Linked DNA regions of Mus musculus. The protein of the gene in region 4 interacts with the protein of the main gene of each other region in a pairwise test. Links are inferred from orthologs where the notes say so. Each region holds a gene or a part of one and is shown on either strand. Other genes may lie near its edges. The genes, in order: Rassf5, Pias1, Dcp1a and Smad4.

Region 1 (4,543 bases), on a different chromosome or scaffold from region 4:
ATGTAGGCGAATTTATAGACAATTCCAGGTCTGGTTTCAGAATCCCCACACATTCTATACATACATTATTGCTCCCAATACTCTAACCTGAGGGTTCTCATCCCTTTTATAAGGTAGCTTGTGTGCAGAGAGAACCTATGCATTTTAACCCCGCCTATATTAAACACCGGTACTGTGAAAGTGTATATGAATCATTGCTATCCAGTATTATTTAATAAGTAAGGAGAAAGAGTGTGTACATGTTCACTATAGACATGCCCCTCCCCCAATATTTCTACCAGTGGTTTGTTGAGACCCAAAATACAGAATTTTTGAATTTGGTGCAGTGACTCTATTCCCATAGTTGCTTGCTGGTGGCTGCCACTAAATCAATCAAACCTGTAATTTAAGGGGGGCAGGGGGAGGCGGGAATGTGAGCTAGGCCTAAGTCAGAACCGCAGAACTGGAAAGAGCAAAGGCGCCTGCAGCTACAAAACCAGCCTGTAGAGGGCCCAGGACCCTTGCTAGCCTACGACCGACCGACCGGGCACAGGTTCGAAAATCCACAGTCCCACCTGTTCTCTATCCCTTGAGACGGCACTGTGGACAGGCCCACTAGTTATTACCATTACATAATTTTCAAGACCCAGTGCAAAAAGAATAGGCCGGGTTAAGAATTAGGATTTTCAAGATGGTGGCGACATAACCTTAAGCCAGACAGGAACCTATGGCGCACCCCTTGGTGCTGGTAGGATGCGGACTTCTCCACCCTGCGCCCCTGCTCAGGTGGACCTTCCATACCAAAGGAGGTGTGTAAGGGATTGGCATTCATTTCCGCAGTGATTACTCCAGCAACTAAGGGGGGAGGGGCGTAATTCGGGAGGAAAGTTCCTGTCCACCCATGGGGCACAGAGAGGTCTCTCATGATCACCGGATCACCAAGGATCACCAGTCACTCTAATCCCAGTCTTCGGGGAGGGGCAGTCTATGTAGCAGAGGTGAGAAGGGAGAGAGCTGATGTAGCCAGCTTCCCACGGGCAGCTCGGAGAATCCGCGGGCCGCCTTACTGACAGCGGCGGGCTAGCTCCTGTCCCGGGGCCACACCAGGTTGCCAAAGCCCTGCCTTCCCACCTGCTCCCCGCCCCGCCGGTGTTAGGGCGCCCTGGGAGACGCCCAGAGGGGACGGGGCAGAGCTGAAGACAGGCGCAGGAGCCGGCGCCTACCGAGCTCGCGAAGCCTCTCGGGTGCTCGGACCTTCACCACCGCCTAGTCGCCGAGTCACTCCTAAATCCACGCGGCTCCGACCCGCAGTCACGCGTGTTGCCCTTCCGGCCTCTCGGTGGGCTCCGCCCCGCCCCGCCCCGCCCGCGGGCTGCGGGCCCTTTAAAAGCGCGCTCGACCGGAGCCGCCCCTTCTGTTGGCCAGGCTCGGTAGCTGCCGCCGCCTGCGGGCCTTGGCCATGGCTTCCCCGGCCATCGGGCAACGTCCCTACCCGCTGCTCCTAGATCCCGAGCCGCCGCGGTATCTGCAGAGTCTGGGTGGCACCGAGCCGCCACCTCCCGCCCGGCCGCGCCGCTGCATCCCCACGGCCCTGATCCCCGCGGCCGGGGCGTCAGAGGATCGCGGTGGCAGGAGGAGTGGCCGGAGGGACCCCGAACCCACGCCCCGAGACTGCCGACACGCTCGCCCTGTCCGGCCCGGTCTGCAGCCGAGACTGCGGCTGCGACCTGGGTCACACCGACCCCGCGACGTGAGGAGCATCTTCGAGCAGCCGCAGGATCCCCGCGTCTTGGCCGAGAGAGGCGAGGGGCACCGTTTCGTGGAACTGGCGCTGCGGGGCGGTCCGGGCTGGTGTGACCTGTGCGGACGAGAGGTGCTGCGGCAGGCGCTGCGCTGCGCTAGTGAGTGAGGGCGGGGAAGGTGCGCGAGGTGAAGGGCTCTGAGCCCGGGAGAGGAGGCCATTGCCTTTTGTGGCCAGTCCGAACTTTTAGGCAGGTTACCTTTGGAGACAGCTGCTGTCACTGCCTGGCATCCTTTAATGGCTGCCCACTGACCAGAGGTAGTTGTATGTGTACAGTTACGTATCCTCAGACGGGTTTGAGCCTTCTCCCCCGTGCGCGTAAACAAGCTTGTTTGTAGGTTGGGACTGATGGCTCTCCACAAGGTCATTGTGTCTTACGCACACCCTCTTCTTCCTTTAGTTGTGAGTTTTAAAAATGAGGTAGTGATATTGACAACGAAGTGAGTATTTGACACTTATTAGGGTTAATGGGGAGATGACTCGGTGGTCACCTCAGGTTCTCTCAGGCTCTTCCTCCTAGGGAGCTGTTGGCATGGGAAGCCTGGTTAGGCTTTGAATGGAAGCAGGCTGTGAGGCTGAAAGATGCCAAGGTCACCTGCACCTGAGGCCTCCTCAGCCCTCCACACCTGGCTCAACGCTCTATACTCTGCTCCAGTGTGTGACTGTGCCTCGTGGCCTCCTCTTCCTCCTCCTGTCCCCCTGCACCCGCCTTCCAGCCCTAAAATCACTAAGCTCCCCGCCAGTTCCTTCCTTCCACAAGGCATCCCCACTGGCCTGCTGGCTTCTCCCAATCTTACTGTAACACTGGGCACCAGTATAGAGAGTTTCTGAGCAAGTCTGCGCTCTTTTTAGGGCTTATCATTACCTCTCGCCAATGGTGAGTCTGTATCCCTGTATAAGTCTCCTCCCCACCAACCCAGGGATCTGCTGTTGCCAGAGGATACTCATACCCGTGTGTTTACGTAGCTCCTTTGAACATATGAAGCACGCAGTGCAATGACAGCTTCCGGCAATCATCTGTGGACATGGATTACAGTCACATCTTTTGGTAAAGGGCCATCCTCTGTTGCCTCCTTCAGACTGCAACACTGGACAGCAGCAGCTAGCACTACTACCCTCACTCTAGCCCATAACAGCTCCCCCTCAGCCGCTCCAGAATATGTGAAAGGAAAAAGGGGGACTATTCTTCCTACCATGAGCATCCCCCATACAGGTGCCTGTTAAGGAGAAGGCTGGGCATGTAGAGTCCTGTGCACGGGCTGCTGTTCCTTGTAAATGCTGCTGACCTGCAGACGAATCCAGTGCAACTTACCTCTGGGCCCGCTGCTAGCTTTATCTCCCTCCGTGTTCCTGAGTGCTTTGCAGTACCCACTAGCCCTGGACACAGAGGATGAGGCAGTGGATTCACTGTTATGGATCTACTAAGGCTCAAATTCCAGAAGCTGCACTGTCTGTGAGAATATGCTTGTTGCAATTCCCGCTTGTTTAGACTTTGAGGGACTGTCAGCTTTACTCTGAGTTTGTGATATTCTTCTGGTTAGCAATGATGCTGTGTTGGCAGGATTCTGTGGGTATCTGTGCAGTACTCCATGACGAAATGAGCATCCTCATACCACATGAGAGTTGTTTATTTCCCTTGCTCCGTCCCTAAATAGTTTCCAGCACTTGGGAAATAGTGTCCTCCCTGCCGTTTCCTTCCACAAGGCATCCCCACTGGCCTGCGACTTGCTGAGGTCCTTTCACTTTCTTGGGTTCCTGTGGCCCCTGAGTAGTCGATTTCCTACCAGCCAGAGATGCCTGAACACCAAAGAGGCAGCAGAACTGAAGTCAGGAAGGCCACAGAAAGGAATCTCTGTTTGTTTGGTTTTTTTTAATATTTAACTAACCGTGAGTGTTCGGCTGACCAAGAGAAAGTTGAGACAGTTTTGGTGTGCAGGACAGACTCACCAGACATCTGGTGCTAAGCTGAGGTCTGGCTCTCTGAGAGGGTTTATTTGTTTTATTTTCATTTTTGAAAAGCATGGGTCAGAAAAGGATGTTTTAAAAGGTAATCCTGGAGCTGGGAAGAGGGGGGCAACTCAGTTGGCAAAGCAAGCATGAGGACCTGAACTGGATCCTTAGAACCCACATTTAAAATAAATAAATAAATAAAAGCAGGCATGGTAGCACATGCTTGTAACCTCAGTGCTGGACGGTGAGTGGAGACCGGCAGAGTCCTGTCTGGCCCTCACTGGCCAACCCTAGCTACTCGTACACATAGACACAGGCACACACGCACACCTCAAACTAGAACCAAAGTCCCGGCTTTGAATCCGAAATGTCACTTAGTCTCTGTGTGACCCCATGAATCTCTGTGTTGCCCTCACTTGTCTTTAAGAAGCGTGGATAATGATCTTATCTACAGCATCGTGTTAATGTGGGGATTCAGTGTAGTAATCATATACGTGTACGTTGATTAGAAAAGTGCCTGGCAGGGTACACAATGAACGTCCAATTAGATATAAGTGTGACCATTGTCTCCTCCCATTTAAGACCATTAATGGCTACCTGGGGCTCACTCTGCCACATAGCATAAGCATGGGGTACGGTTTTCAAGCTTTGTTTGGTGGTGGAGTTGGAAGCAGGAAGCGGATAGTATATCTTGGGAGTTTAGGTATGAAGTGTCCTCTAGACATGGCATCCCTGCCTAGCGCCTCAGGTGGAAGCCAGCTGTGATGAAACCCACAGTCCCGTGTCCGAGACTCCTCTGCACCTGGCTTAGAG
Region 2 (4,501 bases), on a different chromosome or scaffold from region 4:
TATCTTAGAACAAGTTCTGTAGACCAGGCTGACCTCGAACTCACAGAGATCTGCCTCGTCTTTATAGCAAATTCCAGGGCTGAATAGTGAGACTCAGGAGAGAAAAAGGGTGGAGGGCGGAAAGGAGGGAGAGAGACGAGGAGAGAGGAATAGGGGTGGGGGTGGGGAAGCTACCTAGTAAAGAGACAGGAATGGAATGTTGGGACAGTGGCAGTGATGTGGAGGAAAGTTCAAGAACTCTGTTTCCAGAGAAAGCAATCACATCAACTGTTAGCAGTTCCCTCTAGGCAATTGAGGTAAGCCCTGGGAACTGAGAGTGGGCTTCGAAAAGGTGTAGATGAGAGCTCAAGATAGGGCAGGCAGTGGAGCTGCCTCAGGATAGGTTTGGAGGTAATGCCACTGAAGAAATGGGAACAAGTACTTGTAGAAAAATGAAGTCTTGTTTGTGAATTTATTCAGTGAAGAAAGCGGAGAAATAGAGTACCCATTGAAGGTAATTTTGGATCCAGAGGAAGCATAAATTTAAGTAAGGAATTTTGGTTATGTTTATATGCTGATGAAAATGATTCCTTGAAGAAAGGGGGTTGGAACTATAAAGATACTGGAGTAAAACATGTGGGCATGTGGGAGTGAAATAATCCAGGTCACTGGTCAGGACCTGGCCTTCTTGAATTCAGAGTAACCCAAATGTTAAGAGGATTTTGATAGTAAAAAGTTGATCAGTTAAAAAAGGCTGGGGTTTTGAAGGAAGCTTTTAGTAGATAGGAGTAAGTCTAAATATCAATGTAGGTGAAGAAAACCCTTCTGGGATTAAGCACACCCCACCCCCCCCAATCCATTTTTCTCTTGGTGAGCCTTTTAATCTCTATGCTGTTCATCACCATTAGTAATTATATCTTAATAGTTCACAGATCTGTACCCCATGAGCGACAGGTCAGGGATCTTCTCTAATTTCTGACTACCCAGGGTGACGCGATGAATAAATGTCTTCAGAATTTGCCTTAGCTACTACTGTTAAATGCTGTTTAGGAGAGTCCCTTTTTCCCCTCAGAGCTTTTATTTCGGAAAAGATACCATGGGAATGATATATATATATATATATATATTTTTTTTTTTTTTTCTTTTTTGGCCTAACTGCCTCATCATGAGGATCTGCGTAAACCCAGAAACGCTTCGTCAAATTCTCCTTAGACAAAACTGACTAATTGGCTAGTTGTGATCGACCGGCAGCTGGGTAGGGTACAGGTGCAGAACGCATCTTGCGCATGGGGGCGCGCCGTGGCTTCAGTCAACTGGGGCTCAGAGGGCAGCCGAAGGATGAGACTGAGGCCAACACCTCCCCAGATGTGGCCTCTTCCCTGGGCGCTACTGGCTCGGCCAGTGTGGGGGCGGGGAGGCCGAGGGGGTAGTAACTGTCAAACTCCCGCTTGGCGCCATTATTTAAATAGTGCGTGTGGGTCTCGCAGCTGTGCGTGCCCGGGGCGGGGCAGCGAGCTCCTGGAGTGGGGCGGAGGCCAGGGGCGGAGCGGGAAGGCTGAGGGGCGGGGTGGAGGCGGAGTCAAGTCCGCTAGAGGGGAGGTTCCAGCGCGGCCCCCGGCGAGCTTCATTGCGCTTGCGCTGACAGACGCAAGATGGCGGACAGTGCGGAACTAAAGGTAAAGCGCAGCTCGAATTCACTTCTAATATTCGGCCGCGGAGACGGCGCCGCGGCTGCCGGGGGGATGGGTCGGACCCTGGGGGGCCCGCTCGGGCCGGGCTCCACCCGAGTCTGGAGTTGTAGGCGGGAGAGGCGCTCCGGGCCTTAGTGGAGGGGGCCTGGCTGCGGCGGGCCGTGGGCCCCGGGTGCCTCGGGGGCGCTGACGGGTCGTCCCCGGCGTGTTATTGTTGTGGGCGCCTCTGGCGGGGGTGGCGGGGCGAAGAGAGAGTGAGTCGGGACGTGGCGGCAGCGGCGGTCCCCGGGGCCTGGGTGCCTTACCTTGCAGCCCGCCTCCCCCCCCCCCCCCCATGGGCAGCCAGGGGGTGGGGGGGTGTAGGCTGCTCTGGGAAGAGGGGGATCGGGAAAACTGCCCCGCTGCCGCTTCCTCTTCCTCTTTCGCCGTCCCGGGCTCCTGTCAGGCGCAGCGCTCGGACCCCCGGGAACTTGGCTCCGGCCGCCCCGCCCCTCCGCGGCGCCCAGGCGCCCCCGCCTCGCTTGCCGCCGCTGCCCGCCCGCCTGTCAATGGGTGCCCGGCCAGAGGGAATGCGCGATCCCGGGGCAATCGGCTAGGGAATACGAGGGAGAAGCTCTTGGAAAGTTTAGCGAGCCCGGAGCCGGCGTTGGGGGTTCGGCTAAAGGGTTGCAGGGGGAGTCTGCCCGGGCGGGACGTTACTGTTTCTCTCTTGATTTCGGGCCACCGGGGAGGGTGTGTGTGTGGTGGTGGGGAGCAACCCATTGAAAGAGTGTGCTTTTGGGAGCGGTGGTGGGGATGCAGCCACCTCTCTGCACTCTTGCTGTCTCTGGTGTGGCAGATGAGAGCAGCCTTGGGGGTCTCTAAACACACCATGATGGCGATGCTATAGCTGATGGAGGTGAATGGTTCGTGTTTATATCCCCCGTTGCCTTTTGTTTGTTAGGGACATCTTGCTGGCCATGTTGATTTAAACGAAATTCTCCTCCCACCCACCCCCCATCCCACCCCAACCTCCAATAAATAGAACGTTCCATCGTTCCTCTCAACTGTACCAATTACTCATGCCTCGCGAAATTAGATGAAAGGGTGCCCCCTTTCCCCCGCTTTTTCTCCCACCCCAATCTTTACCTGATGATGGCTCCTTTACTGAAGCACATATACCACTACACAAGCAGTTGGGGGAGGGCTGGTGGAACCCTTATGATTGGATTGTGACAAATGGGTCTCTGCTTGAATAATTCTGGTTTAGTAGCAGGCAGGCAGTTCTTAACTAACGCATATTATTTAGAGGCTCTGAACATGGTATTCCCTTCTCTGGCTTCCTGTGTGCGAACCAAACAGCTGGTTATAGCACATCTCTGTCAGAGTGGAGATTGGGCTATGCAATTATAAATCCTCAGGGAGATTTAGAAATTCTTTTTATAATCAATAAAAAAAATTATTATTTTCCCCATTATAATGAAATAACTTCTAAAACAAGCAGACCACTACCTGTGTTTCTGGACACTTTTCTTTCCGTGCACCTGTGTGTGTGTGTGTGTGTGTGTGTGTGTAAAAGCCTCACTGGAAGATCTTTTTTTCCTTAGTAACTTTGGAGTGTTAACATATCAAGATTTTTGTACAAGATTTGGGTATTTGTTTTTTTTAAGTTTACTTCTAATTACTAACTTGTTTAAGACAGAAAATCTTAATGGATAGCGCCCCCCCCCCCTTTTTTTTTAAGACAGAGGTTTGCTATGTTGCTGAGGTTGGTCTGGAACTCACTGTGTAGACAGACCATACAGGCTTTAAACTTCAGGGATCCTCTAGCCTCTGCCTCCTTAGTGCTAGGATTAAAGGGATTAAAGGCATTCACCACCATTCCTGACTTGGATAGTTTTTTTTATCCCAATTTCAGACTATTGATTTCACCAAGAAAGCCTCTGAAATTTAACATTTTGGAGACAACCACCTTGCATAAAAACAAACGAACAAAAAACCCCAGAGCTCAAGTATGTGTATTTTATGTAATTATTTTTCTGTCACTATGTTACTGTCATCTTTTATTTTTGATTTTGTTTTGAGGCAGGGTTTCTCTCTGTGTAGCCCTGGCTGTCCTGGAACTCACTCTATAGAACAGACTGGCCTCAAACTCAGAACTCAGAGATCTGCCTGCCTCCTGCTTCCCAAGTGCTGGGATTAAAAGCATGTGCCACCCCCATCCTCTTCAGAGTTGCTGCTGTCTTATCTTTGCTTCCTAATACTTTTTAGGAGTCAATTTGAAAAATAGCTGGCCAAGTTTTTTATACATGGACCATGTAGTAAGGCTTGAAAACCATATGGGAAAAGTACCTGCAAAGAACAGAGTACCTTTGTTGTTTCTATTTTAAGAAAGTGCCTTCGGGGCCAGGCATAGTGGCCCCATACCTTTAATCCCAGCCTTTGGGAGGCAGAGGCAGGTGAATCTCTTTTTGAGGATCAGCTGATCTACAGAGTGAGTTCCAGGATAGGCAGAGCTACTTAGTAAGATCATGTCTTGATAAAATAAAGAAATAGAATAAAGAAAAAGGAAAAAGAAAGAAGAGTGCCTTTGGGGATAGATGAGATTCCTGGTGTGAGTCTTGTTAGGTAAAGTTTACTCTTTACAGAAATGAGTCAGTATCACACAGACTCTGAACACTTAATGGAAATGGTATTTTTCTAAAACTGGTCTCCATTTTTTCACCCTCTCTAAAAGCTACTTGAAATTTCCAGAGGGTTTGTTTTCCACTCTTATGTTTCTGTTGTATAATTTTTCAAATTATAATAAGTGTTTTGACACATTGGTGTGTCATTGTGTGTGCCTGAGACTT
Region 3 (3,859 bases), on a different chromosome or scaffold from region 4:
TTTTCTAAAACTTCAGCTAGAAAGAATGAATCGATGAGCCTTTGATTGAGTTCCCATTAAAGCTTAAGCAACTGTCCCGGCGGGACCGCTGCGTCTGTCAGCATTATTCACAGCGAATCCTTACGCTAGCTGGTTGAGCCAACTGGGTTCTTACCCATCATTAAATAGTGCTCAGAAAAGTAAGCAGTGCATTAATTGGTTAAATACTAGAAAATGACCTGTATCATAGAAACGAAGACACTTTTCATTCAAAGAATATCTCAAAATTACTATTGCTGAAATAATCAAATTCTACATTAAAATATTACCAAACACCATTACATGCCATAAAAGCATAAATAGAAACCATGGCAGATCAATAGCAGCATCACAAAGCATCTTTACAGTTCTGACTGCGGCCAGAGAGCTCGCAGCCTAGGATATACTGTGAGGTGCTAGGTCTCACACTTGCTTTCTGACTCCAGAGTCTACAACTAAGGAAGGAAGGAAGGCAGGCAGTGTGAGCACAGCTCCCTTTCTGCATAGCTTTAAACTGCTCAGCACATTTGAGGAATGGAACCAGAATGGCTTTGTCAGAATGGTCCACTGGTCCTTTTGCCAAAGTGTTAAGGAAAACAATCAACAATAACTTGAACTGTGTTTAGACAGAAAAGGAAAGTAAGGCTGCGCTTCACACACAAACTTGACACTTAAACTGCTGAGAGTTCACTAAAATGGAGCCTTCTGGTAGGATCTGGATCTGTGTGGCCCCGGCCTCTGCTTCAAGGGTGTGAAGCCTCCTCCATCAGAGCCCAGCCGGCCTATCCCAAGAGCTGTGCTTCACCGGAGTTTGCACAGGGCAGGACCAGGGACACTTACCGGAACACAAAGACATCCCAGAAGTCTTAAGGCCCAAGCGGGGTGCTCATAGAAAATATACTTCACTTGAACAAATACCTTCCAAAGAGTCAACTTAAATTCTGATCCTTAAAACCTGAAGCTACTCTGTGAGCTGACATTAAGTTCTTCTAGGAGTAGAGGAGGGAGGGCGTGGGCTCCACTGAGCTCTGCTGCAAGGCTGGTGGCTCCTCCCGAGGCCTGGAAAGCAAGCCGGCAGTCAGGCTCCTCATTCCACCCACTGGCTTGTAGCTGATGAAAACACCCACGTCACTCAACACAATGGTCTCTTGTTGTTTTGTCAAACAAAGGTTTGCTGGTGATGCTGCACAGTGAAACCTCCATCATCACTGAGAACGTCTCTAGGAAACATCCTTACGGACAAGGCTCTCAGGCTCCTCAAGCTCCATGCTCTGCTTAGCTGTTCCATGAGGAAGCCTGCGTGTCTTGAGGCGGACCCTCTCCCTTCACATTGCCTTCACTGCAGTCATAGGTTGTGGTTGTCTTTGTTCTTGGTCAGAACCTGCAAGTAAACTGCATGAAGCGTACTGAGGAAGCTGGAGTCATTCTGGAAGAGAAGGCAAGGAAACATTGCCTGTTACTTCCTCAGAACTCACCCCATGCTAACCCCTTAGGAAAACACAGAACTGATTGGGGGAACTAATTCCCCAAGTAACCTGCCCCCAGAGGCAGTTACAATGACAGTCCAGGTTTACAGCCATTATTCCACCAGGAGGCTATGCCTGGGGAAAGAGGCTACTGCCAAGGCAGGTTTCTGAACTTGCACCAATATACACTAAGCCTTGTTAAGATACAAAGTTAAAGACAAAGCTGACACCCTGCATACCTTTATTAGGTGTATCAGTGTGTCCTGGAGCTGAGACTTGCTGAGGATAATGGAAGGCTTTCTCTGACTCTCTGCTGTCCCAACAGTGAGGGGAGAGGGGGAGCTGGCTTTCCTCTCTAGGTCTGCGGCCCTGGGAACCGTTTGCTGGAACACACTGGGGGACAGCAGGACTGAAGATACTGCTGTGGTGGTTGCAGGAACCAATGGAGAGCCTGCAATCTGCCGGGACACAGAATAATAGTCACTTTTGTTATCTGAGACACTTAGCTTACCCTGCCCCCTTCCCTTAAGATTTTATTTTATGTGTATGGGTGGTTTGGTAGCATGTATGCCCATGGTGTGTGTGTGTGGTACCCATAGAAGCCAGAAGAGGGTGTTGGATCCCCAAGCAAGAGCATCGGTGCCGCTCAGCAGCCACAGAGCCAGCCCTCCAGCCCTCTTAGCTTGCTTTTTGGTATAAAACTGGGCTAGTTACTTCTACTGATGGCCACACAACAGGACAGGCTAACCTAAAGCAGACAGAAGGCTAACCTCTGAAAATCCAGGAGAGGGGTACAGGCTCATAAGCAGGTGAGCAAGTGCCATGGAGAACTGTGTCTGTCAAGGTTGGTGCATGAAGGGGAGTGGTGGATAACAAGGCGGATGCTTGAGAAAGAAGGAGTGAAGTATGCAGGCTCAGGAGCTCTGCTATCAGAAGTGAGGGATTGTGGCAGGACAGTGCCTGTCTCCTGGGACTCTTCACTTTCTAGGTCAAGGAGTACCTCTTACTTAGAGAGACCAGGTTGATACAGGCCCCAGCACCTACCCACTTACAAATGATCCACATGGCCCACCCAGTGCCTGACACCCTCTATACAGTCAAGAAGACATCTATACAGAGTTAACATAAGGTCTTAAGCCACAGCAAGGAATTTTGCCGAGAAGCAGAGCAACTCTGTCCCAGAAGGGGCATCTGAGACAGGACAGAGCTGGAATGTTACAGCTTTTCACTGAGGTAGTAAGAACCCATCTTACAACAATAGAACCCAAAAGTGTTCAATGTGATCTCTGGGGGTGGGGGGCCCCCTGGGCTAGGGAAATGGCTAAGTGGGTTGAGTGCCTGCTACATCTGCACTATGTTGTCTTGTGAGGACATCTGGATGGGTATGGTGGCCCAGGCACAGGGGGGTAGAGACTGTAAGTTGGCTTGGCTCAAGCAGAGACCCTGACTATTTAATATATAAAGTGGACACTCAGTTCCAGCTCTGGCCTCCACACAGGTACACACAATTTGGGGTGGGGGCATCCTTACCGGGATGGCACTGGGTAACACCTTAGGCTGGGAAAATACTTCAGGATCCTGGTTTTGCTGCATAGACTGAAATGTTTAATGGGGAAAACAGAGAAAGAGATAGAGCAAGCTTCAGTTAGTTGCATGTGACAGAGCAATATCAAGGAATGGTTCAGAGCCGAGAGGAACTTGTTGGTAATGCTCCCAGTGAATGAGCCTCGGACAGCAGCAGCTCCTGTGGAGGTTCTTGAGAGCATGTGTGGACAGAACCTGCCAGGTGACTCTAAGAAAAGTGTGACAGCGACTGAACTCAGGGTCAACTCTACTAGTGAGCCCTATCCTCAGTCCTGGGATTTGTTTCTGTATAGAGGTTAAGGGTTCCTTGAATTTGCACTCTTCCTGCCTCAGTCCTCTCAAGCAGCTATCATACACAAGCAGAATGTGTACAATATAAATGATTAAGAATTTGCTCCTGCAGCACTGAAAGCTGAACTCAGGACCTCGCATAAAACAGGCAAGTGGCTCGACTACTATGTCCGCAGCCCCAAGCTCTTCAAAGGTTCTCTGAGTCTGGTTAGTGGCACTAAACAGCCTTCATCCTAAGTATACTGTAAGAGACAGAGAAGGTCCTTTTGTTGTTTGGTTTTGAGACCTGGGTTGTTCAGGCTGGTCTCTAACTTGAGACCCCTCTGCCTCAGCTTTCTTCACTATGTTTTTATAGGTGTGAATGCTCATGGTCTTTGGGAAAGAATTAATGCTGCCCAGTAAACACAAGACAACTCCATGCAGACCAGGGTTTTTTTGTTTTGAGAAAGGATAGTCCTGGCTAGCCTGGAGCTTGCTATGTAGACCAGGCTAGACTTGAA
Region 4 (4,620 bases):
CAATGACAGCCTTTAGTCGGGTTAGCTGTATACCTGACTGAGGACCACCTGAGTCAGTCCTCCTCACGGCTTTAACCCAGCACAGTGGAGGGCCGGGGTATCCAACCACAAGGAAGCACTGAGAAAGCTATTACAAGATGCTTATAAAGAGACACTCATTCTGGGTGAATCAAAAATGAAAAGAAAAACAAAAACCTAGGCATCAACTAGATGGGGGACAAAATAGAACTGAAGTAGGTAATATTTCATCAAAAACAAAAAAGAAAAAAAAAAGGATTGTGCTCTCATCTAGAGATCAAATTTTAAAGAAGCCCAAATATGCACTTTAGATTTAACCAACTCTGCAGACTCTGCAGGGTTAACTGCCCTGGTACAGGCCCCAGCTATGCACAGCTCAATTAGAATAGTGTGTGCCAATGTTACTATAACTCTGGCTCAGTTAGAAAAATAAAAAAACAGGTTCTAACGGGGGGGGGGGGGGGGGGGGATCCTGCATAAAGTATTTTACTATTCCACCATTAATACGGCCCCTCCCCCGTGTGTGTGAAGCAGAGAATCCAGAGACAAAACTCACCAACAGAAACACTTGAATTAACATGTAGCATACATGAAAATGACCTTAAAGAAAGAGCAAGATCTGTACAACTCATATAATCAGAACTATTTCAAGAGCAAAACCATCAGGGAAGTTCAGGTCCATATAAAACACACGCCAAATCACTGCACTGACTTGTTTAGCACAAATTTTCCTTAATTCTGTAAACACAATTTTAATTCTTCCCAACTTAAGATTTACAGTGGAAGCATTTAGTCCAAAAGTGTCAACTACATCTTCAAAAACAAAAATATGTAATACCCCTTTAATGCATACTCACTCAAAAGCCTAGAAAGCAAAAAAAAAAAAAAAAAAAAAAAAGCCACCTGTCTTAAGACAGTGACAAAAAACTAAAAACCTTTATGTCAATTCTCTTTGGAAAGGATTTGTTTTAATTCCGGCAATTGAAGCCTACATAATTCATCACATCAGAAGCTGCTTCAGGCTATGGGTATTAGTCTGCCTCGGTGCATGTTTGTAACCAGGTCACTGAAGAAAACACACTCCTGAGCCTATGAGCACCGTGTCGCAATTTTGTATCCCAGCTCCGGAGAAGCTGAGAGACACGGATGGTCAGGAGTTGAAGAGAGGAGCAGGAAGCCCTAGAGACTCATGACAGTACACTGAACAAAGCATTAGGGAGAAACTGTATTTTAAGAAATATTAAAGCAATCATTTACACTCTGAAATAACACGTACTAATCCTACCAGATAGATCCAAGAGATAGAGTCTACAGTAGGGAGAAGTTTACTTCTCTGAATAGCCTATGCTACATACATTTCAACTGCAAGCGCTTCATATCCTGAATGCAAGGTAAACCTGTAAAATCTGTAACAAAAACTATTCAAATGCGGTGCTTGAAATCTAATTGCTTTGTGGAATTTATAATAGATTTCTGTACATTCAGTTAAGATTCCACACGGTTTGTGTCAGCAGAAAGTCCTGAACCTGATTCTTAAAACGTTCAAAGTCTCAAGCTACTACTGAGAGGAAAAGGATGCTAAATCTGGCAAAATTCAACGATTGTTAAAAAATTAAGCGAGATTACAAGCCTGCAGAACACGAATTCAAGGTACTTAAAATAACTCCCTCTTTATCTCGTTACTTTATTTCTAAGTAAGTGACAATCCCACCTTAAGTTATCAGAAACTGAAGGCACTGATAAATTCTAAAATGAATTACCTGAAAACCAACTTTAAAAATTAAGTTTACTCCAGGTTTTGTGGGGTGGGGCAGTGGGGAGGAGCTATCAATAAACAGGGCTTTTTAAAACCTCTGGCAAAGGAACCTTTCAAGTTAACTAAACACGCCCTTGTCTTTGAAAATCTGGCTTGAGAAATCATAACAGCAGTTTGGGGTGCTGAAGCCAACGCCCTCCACCCTCCACCAATTTCACGCTCCGTGCATGTAGCCCTAACAATAAAATAAACTACGCCTTTTATTAGGAGACACGTTTTATTAGGGGAGGGTGGTTCAGTTTGGCGCTAAGAGTGTCTCCCGCACGCCGCCATCACCCACAATACCCAAAAAGTAAACAAATCAAAGCTACAAACGTAAACTCAGAGCACACAACCAGGAAGAGAAAGTGGGGACAAAGAGAAAACAAACACTTGCTGGGGGGTGGGGGAGGTGGGGAAGGCACGAGGACCCGACCCGGGGCACCCCGGGCATAACGCACTCGGGCCGGGCCGACGCGACGGCCCGGGCCGCGGCCAAACTCCTCCCGAACAACAAAGAGCGGCGGCACGGACGGGGACCGGCGACCGAGTTCCCGGGACGGCGGGCTCGCCTAACTGCGAGAGGAGTTGGGGCCCGGGAGCCACGCGCGGGCACGCGAAGCCCCGGACGCGCGGGGGCGACCCACCCGAGCCCCGCTGGGCCCACGCTCGCGCCGGTCGCCGCGGGAGCCCGCCCCGGGGCGGGGAAGCGCGGGCGCCGAGGCCCCGGTTAGGGGAGGACCGCGCGTTACCTGGGCTCCGCGCCGCACCGCGCCTCGCCTCGCTGTCGCTTCCCGGGCCCCGCCCGCGGCGTCCGGCCCAGGCGGCCCCCTCTCCCCGCCGCGCCGCGGACCGCGCCGGCCGGCCGGGCCGCTGGAGCTCCGGAGCCGCCCCGCTGCGGGGGGCCTCGCTCGCGGGCGCCGGCTCCGGTCACGCGCTCCCGCCCCGGGGACGGCCGCGGAGCGGAGCGCGGCGCGGGAAGGGCCTCCGGAGGACGGCGGGCGGGCGGGCGGACGGACGCGAACACGGGCTCCGCCACCCGAGCCGCTCCGTTACCGCAGCGGCGACGACGACCAGGGCCGTGTTGTTGCTGCCAACTTGTCGGAAGGACACTGAGCATGCGCGCGCGGAGACCACATCCGGGTAATTTCAGGGTTTGGCCCTTCCCTCCCCCGCTCCCCTCCCGCAGCGCTCCTTTCTCCCCGCTGCCCCCGCCTCCCGCCCAGAGCAGGGAGGGTCCCAGTGCGCAGGCGCCCGCGGGCAGCCCGGCGGCTCTGGCTGAGTTTGAGCAGCGAGCGAGCAACGGCGCCGGAGGGGAGTCGCCTTTTCGCAGGATGCCCTCTTCAGACACGGAGTGCGGTTCACAGAGTACCCAAGCAGCGTGGGACAGCTCGGGATGAGCGATGGGCAGGCCCGCCGGGTTGGGTTGGCTTTTGAAGACCTTGGTGGACACAGCTGGACCGAGTGCGGGTGTTTGTAGCAGTTTACTTCCGAGCGGATCTCTCACTCTGTCCCTTTCATCACACCGGCTCCAAAAGGTTGAGCTCGGAGGCGCGCGCGACAGTCAAGGAGTCACATTCCAGGGCCTAGCCCGAGGTGGCCAAACGTGAGCAGTTGGGAAAGAGGCGGGAATTTCGAGTTGGAGGCGACCTTCAAGACTTGCTTAAGTGTACACCTGCTAAATAGGTTGTGCAGGCTGGGATGTAAAGAAAGCTCAGTTTCAGAACTTCACACCTTACAAAACAAGTCAAAACTACCTCTCATTACTTAAGTGGTCCGCTATCTAAAACTTTCAGGGCAACGTAAAGGGACAGTTCAAAATTTGTTGTCCATATACAAAGCCCTGGGTCCATCCCACCACAAAAGTGGTGCATTTGGTGGCAAAAGGCCCGTCTTTGATTTTGACTTTGTACTTACTTTCTTGTATAATTTTATGAATATTGTACTTAGTAGCTAGAACACAAGCCTGCCGTATAGTCCCTGGCTTTAAATCACAGCCCATGCATGTAAATCTTAGCCCTTGGGAAGCAGAGACAGAAGGAGCTCCAGCCTGGTGGATTTACGTGGCAAATTTCAAACCAGGACTAAATAGACAGACCCTAACTTTAAATTTATTCAGACGTCTAGGAAACATGAATTATATGTTGTCTTTTTGTTTCCTTTTTCACCTTCCCTCGGGGTTCCTTCTAGTACAGCTGTTAGACCAAGTCATTTCTTAAGTCTGTTGGAGAAACTTTACAACACACACCAATGTGTAACACTGCCCCCCCAGGGTAAGCCAAAGGGACAATTCAAAAGTTGATGTCTGCAATGAGAAAATAAATCACTTAAATGAATCGATAGTAGAATTTCCTTCACAAATCCAATTCTTCATTGTCATCAAAATTGATAGGTGCAGTACAAATTGAGTTATATATAAAAAGAGAGAGAGAGAGAGATATGAAGTTAGGAAAAGGATATTCCAGTGGGGGAGTCCAGGAGCTGTTGTAAGAAAGCCTGGAGTGGATAAGATCTATATACAATGTATAGATACATGTATGACACTCTCAAAGGATACAACTTTAAAGATTGAAGGAAGATCTTTCAGCTGGCAGATCATTAAAACTGGTTGTAGATCAACTCATGACCCTTTGGATGCTCCTGAAAGAAGAATATTAAAACTAAGTTGTCTTACTATCTATCACTCAACTTCTATTCCATCTGTAACAGGTATTTATGACTGTATAGCACGGTACACTTTAGAAGGTTAAAGCAGTACACCTACTGTTCCTGCGGTGTCCAGGCACTGGTCCTCTACAGAAGCAAGA

Evidence for each region.
Region 1: the proteins of Smad4 (region 4) and Rassf5 interact in binary tests that used the Homo sapiens proteins (3 or more experiments, as listed by UniProt). The link is inferred for Mus musculus from reciprocal best matches to the Homo sapiens genes SMAD4 and RASSF5.
Region 2: the proteins of Smad4 (region 4) and Pias1 interact in a two-hybrid assay, tested with the Homo sapiens proteins (2 studies listed by BioGRID and IntAct). The link is inferred for Mus musculus from reciprocal best matches to the Homo sapiens genes SMAD4 and PIAS1.
Region 3: the proteins of Smad4 (region 4) and Dcp1a interact in binary tests that used the Homo sapiens proteins (3 or more experiments, as listed by UniProt). The link is inferred for Mus musculus from reciprocal best matches to the Homo sapiens genes SMAD4 and DCP1A.

The regions. Positions count from the first base shown.
Region 1 is NC_000067.6:131,242,026-131,246,568, reverse strand, and holds the start of Rassf5 (ras association domain-containing protein 5), read left to right. Parts: upstream 1-1,390; 5' UTR 1,391-1,438; coding exon 1,439-1,880; intron 1,881-4,543. UniProt on the Homo sapiens protein: Potential tumor suppressor. Seems to be involved in lymphocyte adhesion by linking RAP1A activation upon T-cell receptor or chemokine stimulation to integrin activation.
Region 2 is NC_000075.6:62,978,002-62,982,502, reverse strand, and holds the start of Pias1 (E3 SUMO-protein ligase PIAS1), read left to right. Parts: upstream 1-1,623; 5' UTR 1,624-1,631; coding exon 1,632-1,655; intron 1,656-1,975; exon of another isoform or gene 1,976-1,989; intron 1,990-4,501. UniProt on the Homo sapiens protein: Functions as an E3-type small ubiquitin-like modifier (SUMO) ligase, stabilizing the interaction between UBE2I and the substrate, and as a SUMO-tethering factor. Catalyzes sumoylation of various proteins, such as CEBPB, MRE11, MTA1, PTK2 and PML.
Region 3 is NC_000080.6:30,520,811-30,524,669, reverse strand, and holds part of Dcp1a (mRNA-decapping enzyme 1A), read right to left. Parts: intron 3,081-3,859; coding exon 3,015-3,080; intron 1,943-3,014; coding exon 1,724-1,942; intron 1,445-1,723; coding exon 1,364-1,444; 3' UTR 1-1,363. UniProt on the Homo sapiens protein: Necessary for the degradation of mRNAs, both in normal mRNA turnover and in nonsense-mediated mRNA decay. Removes the 7-methyl guanine cap structure from mRNA molecules, yielding a 5'-phosphorylated mRNA fragment and 7m-GDP.
Region 4 is NC_000084.6:73,700,865-73,705,484, forward strand, and holds the start of Smad4 (mothers against decapentaplegic homolog 4), read right to left. Parts: upstream 2,928-4,620; 5' UTR 2,566-2,927; intron 1-2,565. UniProt on the Homo sapiens protein: In muscle physiology, plays a central role in the balance between atrophy and hypertrophy. When recruited by MSTN, promotes atrophy response via phosphorylated SMAD2/4.